Arabidopsis thaliana: one gene and its partner. The protein of the gene in region 1 interacts with the protein of each later gene in a pairwise test. Each region holds a gene or a part of one and is shown on either strand. Other genes may lie near its edges.

What was found.
Region 2: the proteins of ETG1 (region 1) and MCM5 interact in binary tests that used the Arabidopsis thaliana proteins (3 or more experiments, as listed by UniProt).

What each region holds. Positions count from the first base shown.
Region 1 is NC_003071.7:16,931,801-16,940,754, forward strand, and holds ETG1 (E2F target protein 1 (ETG1)), read left to right. Parts: upstream 1-2,820; 5' UTR 2,821-3,126; coding exon 3,127-3,294; intron 3,295-3,542; coding exon 3,543-3,656; intron 3,657-3,744; coding exon 3,745-3,852; intron 3,853-3,940; coding exon 3,941-4,072; intron 4,073-4,176; coding exon 4,177-4,218; intron 4,219-4,404; coding exon 4,405-4,506; intron 4,507-4,607; coding exon 4,608-4,844; intron 4,845-4,934; coding exon 4,935-5,051; intron 5,052-5,141; coding exon 5,142-5,344; intron 5,345-5,433; coding exon 5,434-5,569; intron 5,570-5,637; coding exon 5,638-5,865; intron 5,866-5,975; coding exon 5,976-6,043; intron 6,044-6,118; coding exon 6,119-6,233; 3' UTR 6,234-6,472; downstream 6,473-8,954. Other genes in the region: KT2 (potassium transporter 2), read left to right, coding at 1-6, 94-339, 431-484, 570-830, 911-963, 1,047-1,164, 1,267-1,521, 1,599-2,716; AT2G40560 (Protein kinase superfamily protein), read right to left, coding at 6,905-7,816. UniProt on the Arabidopsis thaliana protein: Associated component of the MCM complex that acts as a regulator of DNA replication. Binds to the MCM complex during late S phase and may act by promoting the disassembly of the MCM complex from chromatin. Required for sister chromatid cohesion.
Region 2 is NC_003071.7:3,521,279-3,530,879, reverse strand, and holds MCM5 (Minichromosome maintenance (MCM2/3/5) family protein), read left to right. Parts: upstream 1-3,379; 5' UTR 3,380-3,491; coding exon 3,492-3,761; intron 3,762-3,829; coding exon 3,830-3,973; intron 3,974-4,050; coding exon 4,051-4,230; intron 4,231-4,309; coding exon 4,310-4,408; intron 4,409-4,479; coding exon 4,480-4,616; intron 4,617-4,715; coding exon 4,716-4,821; intron 4,822-5,115; coding exon 5,116-5,250; intron 5,251-5,337; coding exon 5,338-5,415; intron 5,416-5,621; coding exon 5,622-5,726; intron 5,727-5,817; coding exon 5,818-5,909; intron 5,910-5,994; coding exon 5,995-6,127; intron 6,128-6,230; coding exon 6,231-6,326; intron 6,327-6,475; coding exon 6,476-6,567; intron 6,568-6,657; coding exon 6,658-6,748; intron 6,749-6,830; coding exon 6,831-6,940; intron 6,941-7,024; coding exon 7,025-7,154; intron 7,155-7,233; coding exon 7,234-7,335; intron 7,336-7,417; coding exon 7,418-7,501; 3' UTR 7,502-7,896; downstream 7,897-9,601. Other genes in the region: ABCC13 (multidrug resistance-associated protein 11), read right to left, coding at 8,389-8,824, 8,906-9,093, 9,267-9,428. UniProt on the Arabidopsis thaliana protein: Probable component of the MCM2-7 complex (MCM complex) that may function as a DNA helicase and which is essential to undergo a single round of replication initiation and elongation per cell cycle in eukaryotic cells.

The DNA of each region.
Region 1 (8,954 bases):
GAGAAGGTGAGGGGAAGAGACACTTTCAGAGCAGAAAATCATCGAGAAACTTTATTTGCTTTGCTTATGAAGGTTTGTTACATTTGTTTTCAGGTGGAACTTTTGCTTTGTACTCATTGATCTGCCGTCATGTCAAAGTTAGCCTCCTCCCAAACCGACAAGTCTCTGATGAGGCACTGTCCACTTATAAGCTGGAGCATCCACCGGAGAAGAACCATGACTCGTGTGTGAAAAGATATCTGGAGAAACACAAGTGGTTACACACTGCTTTGCTGCTTCTTGTTCTTCTTGGGACTTGTATGGTTATTGGAGATGGACTTCTCACTCCAGCTATCTCCGGTATGTATGCTTCTGTGTTTGTAGACAGATATTCCAGTGTCCAATTGCTAGTTAAAAGAGTTTTCTAATCTTTTCTTTTTCTTGTATGTAGTTTTCTCTGCTGTGTCAGGTCTTGAGCTGAATATGTCTAAAGAACATCACCAATGTAAGTACACAAAGACTGGGTAGTGTTAGTTTTTGCTACTTGAGTTCTGATGAATGATGGCTTCCTTTGTTGTTCAAACGTGCAGATGCAGTAATTCCTATTACCTGCTTCATACTAGTCTGCCTTTTCTCGCTTCAGCATTTTGGGACACATCGTGTTGGGTTTGTTTTCGCGCCTATTGTCCTCACTTGGCTGCTCTGTATAAGTGGTATTGGCTTGTACAATATAATACAGTGGAATCCTCATATATACAAAGCTCTTTCTCCTACATACATGTTCATGTTCTTGAGAAAGACGAGAGTAAGCGGATGGATGTCTCTAGGCGGGATCTTGTTGTGCATAACTGGTGAGATATATAAGAAATCGATATTGTTAATGTCGCCATAAATAATGTCAGTAATCTAACTCGTTGAGTCTTTGTTTTAGGTGCTGAGGCCATGTTTGCTGATCTTGGTCACTTCAATTACGCAGCAATTCAGGTTAGTTTCTACTTTAGCTTGGATGATTTACTTATTGTTATATCGCCACAGGTTTCAATAAATCTTTGTTTTGTTTGCTGTAGATTGCGTTTACCTTCCTGGTTTATCCGGCTCTTATATTGGCATACATGGGGCAAGCTGCTTACTTATCCCGGCATCACCATTCTGCTCATGCAATTGGGTTTTACGTCTCTGTACCAAGTCAGTAATTTGCCTTACTTCAAGAACTCAATTTTTTTTTGGTGTTGATCATTGAAAACGTAATCTGATCTTTTGTTTATATAACTCCATGGTTTTGAACAGAATGTTTGCACTGGCCTGTGCTTGCTGTAGCAATTCTTGCTTCTGTTGTGGGAAGCCAAGCGATCATCAGTGGGACTTTCTCAATCATAAACCAGAGCCAGTCTCTCGGATGCTTCCCTCGAGTCAAAGTCATTCACACGTCCGATAAGATGCATGGTCAGATTTACATACCGGAGATTAACTGGATGCTCATGATTCTCTGCATCGCTGTTACTATCGGGTTTAGAGATGTCAAACACCTGGGAAATGCATCAGGTATGAGATTCTTTTATCAACTCAAGAATTTTGGATTCTTCGACTTTGAGATTATATTCCTTTGTGGTTGGTTGCAGGTTTGGCTGTAATGGCGGTTATGCTAGTGACAACATGTCTTACCTCATTAGTCATTGTTCTTTGCTGGCACAAGCCTCCAATTCTAGCGCTAGCGTTCCTTCTCTTTTTCGGTTCAATAGAACTTCTCTACTTCTCGGCCTCACTCACCAAATTTCGTGAAGGCGCTTGGCTTCCGATCCTCTTATCTCTAATATTCATGATCATCATGTTCGTTTGGCACTACACCACCATTAAGAAATACGAGTTTGATCTCCAGAATAAAGTCTCGCTTGAATGGCTTCTTGCATTGGGTCCAAGCCTCGGAATTTCTCGAGTTCCAGGTATCGGTTTAGTCTTCACGGATTTAACCTCTGGAATCCCCGCCAATTTCTCCCGGTTCGTCACCAACCTCCCTGCCTTCCACCGTGTTCTTGTCTTTGTCTGCGTGAAATCTGTCCCTGTCCCGTTCGTTCCACCTGCTGAGAGATACCTCGTGGGTCGTGTTGGTCCCGTTGACCACCGCTCTTACAGATGCATCGTTCGGTATGGATACCGTGACGTCCATCAAGACGTGGACTCATTCGAAACAGAGCTCGTAAGCAAGCTGGCGGATTTCATCCGTTACGATTGGCACAAAAGAACACAACAAGAAGACGACAACGCTCGTTCTGTCCAGTCCAACGAATCCTCAAGCGAGTCAAGACTAGCCGTGATCGGAACAGTAGCTTACGAGATCGAAGACAATCTCCAACCAGAGAGTGTCTCCATCGGATTCTCCACAGTCGAAAGCATGGAAGACGTCATACAAATGGCCGAACCAGCCCCAACCGCCACCATAAGACGGGTGAGGTTTGCGGTTGAGGAAAACAGTTACGAGGACGAAGGATCAACATCGTCAGCAGAAGCAGATGCGGAACTGAGAAGCGAGCTGAGGGATTTGCTGGCAGCGCAAGAAGCAGGAACTGCGTTTATATTGGGACATTCACATGTGAAAGCGAAACAAGGATCATCGGTGATGAAGAGATTAGCAGTTAATTTCGGTTATAATTTCTTGAGAAGGAACTGTAGAGGACCTGACGTGGCTCTTAAGGTTCCACCTGTTTCTCTTTTAGAAGTCGGCATGGTTTATGTTGTTTGACTTATGAAAAAACTAAATATATGAAAACCTAATTCCTCTGTTGTAAATTCGTCATGTTTAGCTTCATAGATCTCTGTTTCTGTGTTTGTGAGTCTGGGGTTTGACTTTTAACAAATCTTAAGACCAAGATGGTCAGAGGATCATATATGCCAAATGAATTAGTTTATTATACACATGAAACGACATCGTATGGAGAGGGGTCCAAAACGGTGCGTTGGAAGTTGGAGAATGGGCATGGATAATGGCGGGAATAACCTAGGAGATATGGCGGGAAAGGCCCAACTATACACACTTGACATTGCCCTTAATTCGTGTTTGAGCAAAGACTCAATCTTTCATCTCTAGATTCTTGGCGATTCTCGCTACATAGTACTTTGGTAAAGAGTGAAATCAAAGGTTGGTTTTGAGATATGGGAGGACCAGCTTACGATTGTCTGACCAACCCTTTAGGAGCCGTCCGATTCTCCTTCGTAAATGCTCTGTCTTCAGGCTACGATCCGGCTTCGTCTGTCGGAAAAGACTGGGGTGTCGTTGATTTGTTCCGTCACTACTTCTCCGACGAATCTGCTATCTCCCAGGTTTGCCCTAAAACCTTTACTCTGTTTCTATTTTTTTTTGGGTTTAGGGCAATTGAGTATGTTTTGATTAATTACTACCCAATTAGCATAATAGGTTGATTTTTTCGTGTACTTTGGCTCTGTTTCTAAGTAAATCAGCTTACTTTAGGTTTTAGTCTATCCATAGATTGGTTAATTTGGGTTTTTTCAAGGATCTGTTTTGAGATATTTTTCTTAATTAACCGATAGTGTTTTCTTTTGTCTACTAGGTTCCAATTCTTGATTCGTCAAGTATTAAGTGGGTGCAACCCAAGACTCTTGTTCGGTTTCGTGGAATGATACAGGACATGCTTGGGAATGAATTCTATGCTGGTGCTTACAAGGTAGGAATATGACTTTTGATGGTTTCTACTAAAGAAGAATTCAATCTTTATCTATCAGTAACTGTTTCTGTTTTTACGTTCTGTTTAGGATGATTCAACATGGAGAACAAACAAGTACAGTGATGTTTCACAGTTTCCTGAGGGTTCTTCCACTGAAATTCAAGTTTGGGAGCGTCGCTTGCTTTACTGTGTTCCAGTATGTTTTGTCTCATGCGGATCTTTCTTTTTTGTTGTTGGTCTCTCATATATGTTTAAACATAATAACACTTGATTGCAATGTTTAGGTTCCGGGAAAAAACCAGTGGACTGAATGTTCTTCACAAGAGCTAAAAAACCGGTTTTTGGATCTAACTGGCCAAAACAGGGAAAAGCGTGTGAGGGTGGATGAAGAAATGACTGATTCCATGGACTCCAGTGTAAGCAACTTAGGTTCTCATGTTTGCTTTATATGAAACTGATTTTGTTGTAGCAACATCTATTGGTGTTGTTTGTCAATAACTTATTTTAGCCACCATTGCAGACTTTAGAAGCTGGGCGTAATGGTTCTCCTTTTAAGAAAATGGTAAGGATCTCTAGTCTCTTAAGTCTTTCTTCAAAGTCTTTATGAGTCTAACACTATAAGCTACAAAGTTGTGGAAAAAACCATATATTATAAACTTTTCTTTACTGTTACTGGGAAGAATCATGAGACATTGAGATTTTGGCTGATGAAGAATTTCTGATTAATACTGTTTTTTATGTTCATCAGAAAGTGGGGGAAGCTACTTCATCAGCTTCAGAATCTCAGGTTCCACAAACTTCTGGTATTCCGCCTGCTACAAGTGCAGATTCTCTGCCTTGTCTTGTCAAGGTAAATATATGTTTACATTGTTCTTTATATTACCTGTTAACATGTGTATACAAAAGCAGCAAAGACTAGTCTGTTGACAAGATTCTTATGCGGCCACGCAGATCTATGATTCTCCAGAGTCAGATTTGAAGCTAAATGATGTGGTTGAATTTCTTGGAGTGTTGACCTTCGATCCAATTGTTATGATGGATACAGATACACTTGATGAAAACTCTGATGCTCTTTCTGAAGCTGAATCTGTTCAGATGCCCTCTGGAAAGGTCCCACGCCTCCATTGTCTTATCCATAGAAAGCTTGAAACACAGCATTTCCTGCATGGTTCTTCGTTATTACCAGAGGCAAGTATCATCGATTTAGAAAATATACCTCTCATACCTATTCGTGTTTTGAAATTTGTTTTAAATCTCTTGTTACTTTCCATTTAGCAGCCAAAATCCCCCCAAATATTCAAAGAGATAAGAGAGAGTTTGATGAAGTACCTTACCGGTCTACTTGGGAATGATCACATTGCCGCACAGTTCCTATTATTGCATCTCCTGTCAAAGGTAATTAGTTGAAAAAGGATCACTTGTTTTTATTCTCAGCTATTACTGCTACGGCCTTCTATATTCATATGTTTTTTTTCTCCTTTACAGGTGCATGGAAGAGTAGATAATGTTGCTGTTGGGAAGCTTTCTCTTAATCTCATACACCTTAATAAAGAAAGCATGTCTATCTTCGGTACCCAGCTCAGTGGTGCCCTCAAAAGCCTCCTACCGTTCACACAATCTATACCACTTACTATTGAGTATCTGAACACTGCCTCGTTCGGTCCCAAGAAAGACTATGGAATCAACAGGTAAGAATCCAGTTCTACGAAATCTTAACAATGGTTTTGAATCATTCTTCTCTTGAAAGACCTGCAATTATATTGTTTTTATGACTCAGATTGATGCCTGGAGTTCTACAAATTGCTGATGGTACGCACTTGATATTGGATGAAACAGAGTTGCAACCAGGCACCTTGAACTCTGTTGGAGTTGAGAATGCAAATCTGCTTAAAAACCTCTTGGAATGTCAGAAGGTAGGGCAACGTCATTATTCACTTTTAATCAGATTCAAATATGAATATGGAATCTGCTGCTATTTCAGGTTGAGTATGATTTCCAATATTACAAAATGGAAATGGCCACTGATGTTCAAATGCTCATATTCTCCGAGGGAAAGTCGAACATAATGCCCGCCGATTTGGTTCTACCTCTTCAACCTTCTCAAGTGAATTCATTGGAAGTCATCACACCAGAAACAGCTGAAACTTGGAGGTGCTACTTAGCTACTTGCAAATCATTATCACACTCCATTGGGCAAGAGTTGCAACAGGTATGTATATATCTATTGCATTAATGTTAGAATCTGCCAATCTGGTACTTCTAAAGAAATCCATTGTTTTCAGACTTTTGACTAATATTTTCTGCAAATTTTTGTTGCAGGTGGTGGAGAATGATTTGGTTGCAGCTAGACAAACAGATCGTAGTTTAGGCAGCCAAGACTTGAGCAGGTACAAAAGCCCTCCTTAGGGTTTATCCTTGTCAAATATGTGCAAAACTTACAATTATGTTGTTTGGTTCCACAGATTGTTGACAATGGCTCGTATGATGTCTGTGAGTTATGGTGAGACTACGCTTTCACTAGAGCACTGGCAAATGGTGTTGGAACTAGAAAGACTTAGAAAGGAGAGGCTCAAGTAAAACCACCGTAACGAACAAGATGTATTATGGTTTCGAGACTATTTGGATATTGTAATTTTCACTAAGTTATCTGAGTAAGAAGAACCATATCGTTTCATTTCCTATCTATTTATTAAGGTTCAACTTTTGAGCTATTGACTGGTAATGGAAAATGTTTGAGAAAGAAGAAAACTTGGAGACTTCAAACCCATTCCGGTTAATTTTCATCGTTGATCTGACATGGTAAATACTGAATAAAGCACATGCACACTGTGACACCTCTACTTTAAAAAGTACCAAATAGATAAACTGACTAGAAGATTATTTTCTTGTGATGCAAGTAAGAAACAAACTCAACCAATCGACCTTACTAAAGTATACTCTTCTATAAAATAAAGAAATTTCTTCTCCCCCGTATGTAAATTGAAATCACCAGATGGAAGTCTTGGTATAGAGATATATCGATCTGATAATCTTATCACGGAAGAAGACTTTGGTCTCGATTGCATATCTCTCACGTACGACTCTCGTTTGTATGAATAGAAAGAACAAAGACACACACAATTTAACGAGTTCCCAAGGTCAAACCGATCCTTGGTACATCTCGGCTAGGCTTTGCCATAGCAAATTCACTATCCAGTTTTTTTTTTCTTTTTTTTATACATATGTACACAAGAGAGATAGAGAGAGGATTAGGTCAAAAGAAGCTTCGAGAAACTTGGAATCAACGACCTAGATATCTCCTTGTTGTCTTCTGTTGTTGGCGATGGAAGTCCTTGTGTAATAAAAGGATGTTTCAAGAGCTCAGTCGCGGTGGGCCTGCGTGAACGCATGTCATCGCATCGCCTTAAGAAATCTTGAGCCTGCGGAGAGATAACGTCACGCAAATGCCATACGTAAAATTCGTCAAAGTACTCCTGGATAGGTATAGCTCCAAACATCTCATTAACCACACACCCTAGAGAATATATATCAAGGGCTGGATCGATATGTCCCGGATCGATCAGTCCGTTTGGTACAAAAGAGTCCGGGGGCATGTACTCAACAGTACCAAGGGACGTAGGATCATGATCGGTGTCAGGCTCTTTGGATGAACCGAAATCAGCAAGCTTGAGATCCCACGGCTCTCCAGGAGTTGTGGAAGGGAAGAGGAGAACGTTGGATGGCTTGAGGTCGCAGTAAACGTAACCATGGGAGTGAAGAGCCTCGAGTCCTTCTAGGATCATACGAGCCGTGCGACTGACCAAAGACTCAGGTATCGGCTCTTCTTTCCGACGGAAACCATATATAAACCTATGGAGATTACCTTTGGAGGCGTACTCCATATAGATGTAGCAATATTCGTAGGGTTGGATTTGTAAGTGAAGCTTGTTTGAGGCTTGGACGATGCGAGGATGATCACGGAAACGATGCATGATCCTGAGCTCCTTCTCGAGAATCTTTTTGAGATGCATCGGCGATGACTTCTTTGCGTAAAGTCGGGAGTTGGAGTCCTTCTCGAGAGAGACGTAACCGAAGTTCCCTCGGCCAAGAGAAGAGAGCTTCGTCAACGAAGACTCGTCCACAATCCAATCATCATCTCTGCAAATTTGTTCCATCATCATAGTGAAGCTTTTACGTATTCGATTGTCTTTAGGTTTTCATCAGTCTCTCTATACCTATATATATATATTTTCTGTAGGTCGGTGCGTGGTTCGTTTTTTCAGTTGGAGCTAGGACAGATTTTCCTTTTCCAATTAAGAATCTGAAATATCGTATACACGCTTTAGTTAAACTATATCCTCAACTTATTTAATATTTATATTATTTAATGCTAAAAATGAAAATTTATTATAAATTACAAATTCTAAATGTTAAAAGATTTACACTATTATTTATTCAAAATGTGTATACAAGAAATATAACCAACCAATAAATATAGACAAATTAAAAGTAACATAATTTGTTAGCACAATAATATATGAATATTAAAAAGCACATATTGATCTTAAATATTCCTAAATATAAAAAGAAACTGAAATAAATAAACAAAACTTTCTATTAATTTTAATATTTTTTCATTTTATGATTAGTGATTTTTCGTATTATTTTAAATTTTACTTTTAGAAAGAAAAGTAATTGTAATCCTAGATTCATTGGAATCGAGTAGATTTTTTTAGTAAATACATCATCAATTATTGTTGATATATGATATATTTTCTATTCGAATATATTTTGAGTCAATAATATTAGTTGTTAAAACAATTATGCAAAAGTGAAGTAAAAAGATATATGTGTTTATATATATATGGGGTAGGAAAATAAAAACTTTCAACAATTAAATTCGATATATATGTTATTTTTTTCACTTGATATTACTTTTTTCCCATAAGACTAAAGGAAGACTGATAAATTGATTTCTTAAAATTTTATTTAAATGAAACCAAATAACCAATAATCCAATATTCACCAAATTAAGTTTCCTTTTTCGTATTATTTTAATTATGATAGCTTAATGATATCAATTGTTAATTTTTATTTAAATTTCCTATCAAACGGATAAAAGATTACGAAGTAGGATTATGTTAAAAGACAAATTGAAGATTATAATGGATTTTTAAAGGTTATAAGATTACTTTGTTAATATTTAAGATTTGGGGACAATTTGGAATATTTAGTATTTGTTTTAAGAAAATAAAAGATTTTGGCCAATTTTTCCTAATGTCAATTTAGTATTTTTGTACCGGCTAAATAATCTTTCGT
Region 2 (9,601 bases), about 13 Mb from region 1:
ACTATATCATCTGATGAATAGTGTTTCGGTCGCATGTGAGCAGTGTTATCGAGCGGTTTATGAACTGTGTCGCCACATATTACGTCAGAAAAAATTGGGCTTCTTTCATGATTGGGGCATTTTCCAAGTTTTTAGTGCATTTAGGGCACATTGAAGAGAATAGACACTTTTTTGGAGTTTTTTCACTATTTTAAAAAAATCAATACCAGTTTACCCCTTATTCTCTTCACCTTAAATCAAGTAGCATGGTTAAGAAATGGTTTTGACGGAATCATCTCGTCCATCGAATTGAAAGGTAAAGTTAATCTCTTTTAATCTTGACCGTCAAATTTAAATAAATAAAACATATTTTCTCTATCTATCACTTTCTTATCTTTCTTGTCAATTTCTTCTCTCTCTTCCTTTTGTTATTTAATTTTTATTTAATTTAAGACATTCTCTATTTGATTAAAAATCATTTTTTATAAAATATATAATAATAACATTTTTTCCTTCATGAAATCCATATTACTATATTTATTCATACTATTATTTATTGTATCATCAAAACATAAACAGATTCAGAAAACAAAAAATCCATATGATTTAATCCATTTGGACAACAATGAAATATATAATCTTTAATGAGAACCATATAACCATAAACTCTAAAATCATTATAAACAATCATAGTTCCTTAACACTAAATTCTAAACCCTAAACATTAGATATTAAACTCTATACATTAAACCCTAACTTCTATATCTAAACCCTAAACCCTAAACTTTAACCCATAAACACTAAGCCCTTAACCATATACGTATACCCTATACCATATACCATATACCATAAACCCTAAATCCCAAACCTTCTTAATGTTGCCCATAAATATTAAGCTTAAACCTCTTATCCCTAAACCCTAAACCCTAAACCCTAAACTTTAAACCCTAAACGCTAAACCCTAAACTCTAAACCTTAAACACCTAAACCATAAACCCTAAACTTTAAACCATAGACACTAAGCCCTTAACCATAGAAATATATCATATACCATTTACCATATAAACCCTAAATTTTAAACCTTCTTATTATTGCTTATAAATATTAAGCATAAATCCCCTAAACATAAACCAATTGAGAACATAAAAAATTCATATGATTTAATTCATATGATCAAAATGGAAATATATAATCTAACAAGAAGCATATAACCCTAAACCCAAAAATAATTGTATATGACCATGGTCAATTAACCCTAAACCTTATACCATCTACAATAAACTCTATAATCATTGTAAACAATCATAGTTCCTTAACACTAAATCTAAAACCCTAAACACTAGATACTAAACTCTAAACATTAAACCCTAACCCCTAAATTTATACCCGAAACCCTAAACCCTAAATCTTAAATCCTAAATCCTAAATCCTAAATCCTAAACCCTAAACCCCTAAACCCTAAACCCTAAACCCTAAACTCTAAACCCTTGATATTAAACCCTAAACCTGTTAAACCATAAAGACTAAACCCTTAACAATATACATATACCATATCACGTATACCCTAAACCCTAAACCCTAAATTCTAAGATCTTCACTTTAAAACTTCTTGTTGTTGTCCATAAATATTAAACATAAATCCCCTAAATATAAACAAATTGAGATAGAAAATCCATATTATCCAATCCATATGGACAACAATGGAATATATAATCTCCAATGAGAAACATGTAACCATAAACCCTAAATCATTGTAGACAACTTTGATTCTTCAACCCAAAACCCTAAATCATCTAAACTAAACGCGAAATCCTAAACAATAAAGCCTAAATCCTAAAATGTAAACACTAGATACTAAATCTTAAACCCTAGACATTAAACCCTAGCCCTTGACTTTAAAGCCTAAACCCTAAAACCTAAGTTTTATATGTACATAATCTATAACCACCACTTTTGATCCATGATAATCTAAAGCACGCTTCTTAACCTGAAAACGTAAAATATTATTGAGATCGATGTGTTCATACACAATCTTACGATATACACTCGTATTTATGTTTTGTTAATATGTAATCGTGGATAAATAAATATAAACATTTTCATAAATAAACTTTTGTTGATATGACCAACAAAACTTGTTTCATCACATTTTATCAACATCTTTTACATAACGTAACACTGGTTTTATGAATAGTATTAACAAAACACAATCATTTTGAATTATCGACCGTCAACACACATCCACCAAACTCTGACCATGTGGTCATTTCAAATTATCGCCTATCACTCTTCTTTGATTTGTTTTGTATTTTTTCCATTTTTTCATTATTTGCTCATGTGTTTTAATGAAAATAGCATCAAACTACCTTTAAGTTACAAATTTATAGTAAGAATATATGTTTGGGTTCTTTAATTCAACTCTCTCTCTCTCTTTGAGGAATTTCCACAAATATTTGGTGGCCAAATCTAAGATTTGTAAAAAGACAAAAATTTGACCAAGACAATGATGGATACACTAAGAGAAGAAGAAACCTAGCAATTAAAAATGAAAATTTTAACCTTATGAGGTTGATTAAAGAATGAGAAACTGAATAAAAATCTTGAAAATTTCCAACTTTTAAGATCTAAGAAGAGAAAGAAAAAAGAAAAATCTAGATCTACTTTTTGGTGTTTTTGATGAGAGAGAAGAGAGATAATGTCTCAAACCATTTCCTTTTTTCATTAAGATATTTTAAGTGTTTTGTGTGTTTAATTTTGTAAAGAGTAGAGAAAAAAATGAATGAAAAGAGAGAAAAAGTAATGGTTGTAAATTATGGTAAGTTTGGATTGCTTAGGTTGGGTTGATGGTGTAGTAGTAAAAAAACTTTAAAAAGTGTTTACTCTTTCTAAAGTGCTTTATTGCGTAATTGAGTTTCAAAAAAGTGTCCAATTACCTAATATTCTCAAAAACATTTATCATGTTAATGACATTTCTGTAATTAACGTAAATGAGAAGGATATATATGGTTGATTTTTCTTTTCTTTTTTATAGTTACTTAATTTTCAAATTATTAATGTTATAAAACTAAAAACTATTCTTTTAAACATATATATTAATATAGCCTTAAATTTTAAGTGACATTGAAGAAAATTACGATGGAATTGAAAATGCTTACAACGATATTAAGTAGCTTAAAAATATGAAATTCTAAAATGTGCAATTCATAAATTTAAGATTCCTAGATGTAGTCCATAATTATATTTTTATCTGTTTGGTTTTTTATAATAAATTAGAAAAAATGGATAAAAAATGTAACCTTAGCTAAAAAGAAAAAGAAAGAAAGACCCAATAACCAACGAAATCCATTTACCCGTCCATAGGTCTTGGGTTCGGCCCATCAGTTTCCCGCCACATTGTTCCCGCCAAAACTCATAGTCGACATAAAGCCCTTGCCCCCACTCTCTCTCTTCGTTTAGAACTTTTTGATAAGAGAGAAAGAGATAGAGAAATTCGTAACGGAGACGAAGCAACGATGTCAGGATGGGACGAAGGAGCAGTTTACTACAGCGACCAGCCGCAGTTCCCGGAGGCCGGAGACGCCGCAACCATCAGTCCCCACGCCGTCTTAACCAAATTTAAGGAATTCATTCGAAACTTCGAGATCGAACAGAATTGTTTCCCCTACAGAGAAGCTCTCCTCGATAACCCTAAGCGACTTGTTGTCCACCTCGAAGATCTCCTCTCCTTTGATTCCGATCTCCCCTCCTTAATCCGATCTGCTCCTGCCGATTATCTCCCTGTGGTATGACTTCAAAAAAAATTAGGGTTCATATAAGCTTTGTATTGAGTGAGTCAATCTTTGAATTGTAGTTTGAGAAAGCAGCTGGTGAAGTGTTGACTGGATTGAAAATGAGGGAGGCTAATGAGGGAGGGGTAATGGAGGAACCTCTGACTAGAGATGTGCAGATTTTGCTCACTTCAAGAGAGGATCCAGTATCAATGAGATTACTTGGGGTATGTCTGTTTTTTTGTTTTTAGTATCAATGAGATTACTTGGGGTATGTCTATAATGTACTCTTTACTCTTGATAGGCACAGTACATCTCAAAGTTGGTGAAAATCTCTGGGATTAGTATTGCAGCTTCGAGAGTGAAAGCAAAGGCGACTTATGTGTTTTTGGTATGTAAGAATTGTAAAAAGACAAGGGAAGTTCCATGTCGTCCGGGTCTTGGTGGGGCAATTGTTCCTCGATCATGTGATAATATTCCACAGGTGAGTTCTTTTGATTCGTTTGTGATTTGAGTTTGTAGTTATCCTTGGTGTTGATTAGACCAAATTGGAATTTGTTTAGCCTGGAGAGGAGCCTTGCCCTCTTGATCCTTGGATGGTGGTTCCTGATAGGAGCCAGTATGTTGATCAACAGACCTTAAAGCTACAGGAGAATCCGGAGGTATAGATTTACATTGTAATGTTTTCGCTTTTTTTGCACTTGTATATATTAAATGCTTCTGAGTTTTGAAGGATGTTCCTACTGGAGAGCTTCCAAGAAATATGCTTCTCTCAGTTGATCGGCATCTTGTACAAACAATTGTACCTGGAACCAGACTGACAGTAATGGGTATCTACAGCATTTTCCAAGCTTCGTCATCATCTAACTCGTAAGCTTTGTAGTTTTATGTCAAATGAGAGTGTAGATTGTTTTCTGGGAGAGTTACACCACAACAATGATGGACATCTTTTCCTACTTTCTGATGTAGGCATAAAGGAGCAGTTGCAATTCGCCAGCCTTATATCCGAGTTGTTGGACTGGAAGACACAAATGAGGCCAGTTCCCGTGGCCCTGCCAACTTCACTCCTGACGAAGTTAGTATCGCATCATTTGGTTCTTTTTGTTTTCTCATTTGATAGCCTATGTCATCCATGGTTTCACAATGAACTATTGAAGTTAACATGGCTGAATTATTGTTACTGGAAACCAAATGCCTTAGGTAGCTGTTGGCTCTATGAAATTCTTTGTGTAACTCCCAAATGAATGTGATGGTGTTTTCTGGAAATATTCTCTGTGCTACTAGTTTACTATGAAACATTTAGGCCTGCTTGGAAGCCTAGTTGTACAATTCCATTTATCAGTTTTGTCTTCCATAATATTACTTTTAGGAGGAAGAATTCAAAAAGTTTGCTGATAGTCAAGATGTATACAAGAACATTTGCACCAAGATCGCTCCTTCTATATTTGGCCATGAGGATGTGAAGAGAGCAGCTGCGTGTCTTCTCTTTGGAGGATCCAGGAAGGTAGGAAACTGTGATAGCAGTTTTTATTTTCTGTGCACTTTGTATACGTTTTTGATATATTTATATACATTTCTATCTTTGATTCAGAGCCTGCCCGATGGAGTGAAACTAAGAGGTGATATTAATGTTTTGCTTTTGGGAGACCCATCAACTGCAAAATCACAGGTTTGTAATGTGGTCTCAGTATCAATGGTTTATAATAAGTGTGTTATTCTTTTTATATTTTCTTACGTCTCTCTTATTTGCTTGATATTCGTCTTACATCCTTCTGTTCAAGTGTTAGATTACAATCCTTACAAAATGTCTGTGTTATTTCCAACACCTGTAGCTTACATGTTTAAAGCTTAATTGCTTATTTTTTTTCTCTCTAGTTTCTTAAGTTTGTGGAGAAGACGGCTCCAATTGCTGTTTATACATCTGGAAAGGGTTCATCGGCTGCTGGGCTCACAGCTTCGGTGATTCGAGATAGCAGCACTGTATGTCCTATCTTCAAGTGTTTTTCTATGATTTGTTTAAAAGTAGTTGCTATGACAGATTCTCAGTTATTTATACATATGTTCATTGCAGCGAGAGTTCTATCTTGAAGGTGGTGCTATGGTTTTGGCTGATGGAGGTGTTGTGTGTATTGATGAATTTGACAAGATGAGACCGGAAGATAGGTAATTCAAATCTGAATCATAGTGTTGACGAATCTAATTTTTCTCTATGAGTAGAATTGATGGAATGTTTTTTTTTTCTTTATAGGGTTGCTATTCATGAGGCAATGGAGCAGCAGACAATCTCCATTGCAAAAGCTGGGATAACAACTGTCCTTAATTCTAGAACCTCGGTGCTTGCTGCTGCTAACCCGCCATCTGGTCGATATGATGACCTTAAGGTTTGAAATCTGGTACTCTCCTTTGGCAATATCATGGTTTTCCCGATTCTTGTTTGCAATATTCTTAAGAGATGGGTGTGTTTTTTTTTCTTTGGATTTGCAGACTGCTCAGGACAATATCGATCTGCAGACAACAATTCTTTCTAGATTTGATCTTATCTTCATTGTCAAGGACATCAGGAAGTATTCCCAAGACAAGGTAAGCAAGGAAAGGAACAATTCTTTCAGAAATTTTATGTAGTTAAAAGGGAAAACAGAGATTAATGATGGAGGTCACTGTTATTGGAAAGTTTGCTTCGTTGCTTGCTTATTATGTAGACATGATTAATGTTTATAATCTTTTCACAGGAAATAGCCAGCCATATTATAAGGGTTCATGCATCTGCAAACAAATTTTCGGATGAAAACACAGATTCTAAAGAAGATAATTGGCTCAAAAGGTGTGTTTTCATTCGTCGAGAAAACAATGTGTTCTCGCAGTTTTCTGTACAAAATCATGACTCTAAAATATAATGCTCTTTTTATGTTAGGTATATACAATACTGTCGAGCAAGGTGTCATCCCCGTCTCTCAAAAGACGCTGCTGAGAACCTGCAGCGGAAATATGTCACAATCAGAATGGTAATTGTCATTTACATTAGATTTGACAATAAGATGGTTAAAAAACAAAGTTGGTGTCAGTATAAAATTTTCGGCTAAACAGGATATGAAGAGACGTGCACATGAAACAGGAGAGGCTGCTCCGATACCTATCACAGTGAGACAACTCGAAGCTATTGTCAGACTGAGTGAGTCACTTGCAAAAATGAGACTGTAAGTAATCTTATTAACATAGAGATTCCTGATTCCTGAAACCTGATGGGATGTGCCGTCCATTGACATTGTTAAATATGTCAGGTCACACGAGGCCACACCAGATGATGTAGACAAAGCTTTTAAACTTTTTGATACCTCGACAATGGATGCAGCAAGATCAGGGATAAATCAACAGATAAACATAACAGGCGAGATGGCCAATGAAATCAAGGTTAGTTGCTTGTGGGGAAGAAAGAATCATCGTATCTCTAGATGTAATAACTAAATTTGGTATTGGTGTGAAAAAACAGCAAGCGGAAACACAGATAAAGAGAAGAATGGGGATCGGAGCTCGATTATCAGAGAGAAGACTGATAGAGGATCTGGCTAGAATGGGAATGAACGATTCAATGGTACCTAAGCTAACATCTTTGTTGTTTAATTTTCAGTAATGTGAATGGGATTTTTGAGGTAATGTGCATGTTAAAATGGCAGGTGAGGAGAGCTTTGTTGATAATGCACCAGAGAGGTGAAGTTGAGTACCAGCGAGAGAGACGTTCTATTGTCCGCAAAGCTTGATCGTCTAGGCATGCAATCTCTCTTCTTTAGTAGCAGCGATGACCAAACAAAACAAAATATTTAATATTATCAAGTTAATTTGTAGGCAAAAAGTAGAAAGAGAAGCTTATGTCATGTGTATTTGATGAAGATTCTTAGTAAACTTTTACGCTTGCTTCAAACTAATGTATTCTCCACCTTTGTTGTCCTTAGTTAAAATGTCACGCCAATGTTAGGAAAGCGTTTGAAGATTGCTGAATGGTATAATCTAGTGCCGATAGTTAAAGTAAAGATGCAGATAGAATAGTTGATAAAGTAAAAGTGTAATCTGAACGTATATGTAAATTAAAATTTTCTTAATGTTGTTATTAGTAGAATGTTGTTACCTTGAAAAAAAAATGAAATAAATAACCATGGTTGAACTTGACTCAAAATGTTCTTCTTTTAAACTGGTTCGGGTTACAAAACTAGTATGTTGTTGAATTTTGAACTGGTTCTGAAGCTCCCGGAATCTCTCAATTTCATTTTGTTCTTGTGTTGTTGAGAGATAATTGCTTCTCTATTTAACATATTTTTGGCCAATTACTTTACTCTATCATGCATAGCTTGGGAAACTCATGGCTAAAGCTGTTTTAAGTTGCAATGAAGAATCAATTCCTTCTGAACTAACTTCTTGGAAGAAAAACAGACAATAAGAGTACCATTGTTTACTTCTCAGTTCTCAATCACCATCGAATTAGATAGATATTTATGAATTTGGATTAGGCAAGTCCATGAAGACTCATTTATTATGGAAAACTGAGCATATAAATGAGCTACTACAGTTGAAACTAGTTTTTCTTAATTTCCATGACAAGATAATTATAGCAGAGATCAGAAGTTACAAGTGATCAGATTCTAACAACATTTCACTGAGAAGCTCTGACAAAGCTTGAAAAAGTTGAGGAGTCATCTTGCAAAAGATGTTGTGGTTTTCCTTGTTCAACAAGAATTCCACGATCAAGAATTAGGATGCTGTCTAAATCAACAACCGTAGAAATGCGGTGAGCAATGGTAATGACGGTTACGCCTTTGCATTCACTCGATATCGTGTTGTGGAGTAGGGAAGCTGTGTGAACATCGATGTTGGCGGTGCATTCATCAAGGCATAGGATCTTAGATGACTTGAGCAAAGCACGAGCAAGGCACAAAAGCTGTCTCTGTCCAACAGAAAAGGAACAACCAGATTCCTTTACATATGAATCTAACCCTCCTACACTTTCTACCGCTGCCTTAACTTTACACTTGTCTAGGATCTCCCAGATTCTCCAATCCTCACTCAACCCAAGAGGATCAAGGTTATCCCTACGAGAACCACAACTTTTTTTCATTATGAAACTGCAGGCAACACCTTTGGTTAGTGAATTGAAGGAGTTAAGTTCTCACCTCAGTGATCCTTGAAACAGAAAAGGGCTCTGAGGAACAACAGCGAGGCAAGAACGGAGTTCTCTTATCGGAAGATGGCTTATGTTTTTTCCATCCACCAATATCTCTCCACTACAAACAGGAGTAAGCCGGAAAAGCGCATTCAAGATCGAGGACTTCCCGGCACCAGTTCTTCCAATTACTCCTACCTGATAAATGAAAACAAAACAATCATGAGACAGAAAAAGTCAATTCTGTTGTAGAGTGCTCTCTCTAGCGGATAGTCTCTTCCCGATAACTTCATATAAATTGTATATGTTGGGAGAAAAGATAAAAACAGAAAAAGTCAAGTCTGTTGTAGAGTGCTCGGCGATACACGTACATGCATTCCTCCTTGGATTGTAAAAGAAATTTGGGTGAGGGCCGGAGGCAGAGTTGAGATGTATCTCATTGTCACATTGTGAAACTCAACTAATCCGTGAACAGGCCACTTATCGCTGAGAGATTGAGGACCTGAAACTTCTTCTTGAGGCACATCCATGTACTAATAACACAGGAGAGCATGGTTCATGTAATTAGTAACACTAACATACAAAAATTACTTAATGAATCAGAATCATTATCTTTATCTTTGATTTCTCGTAGTGCGAATGTAGAAGTGGATAATTTGGCACGACGAATTTGTACCGAACCACATCATATCATATATGTAAACAA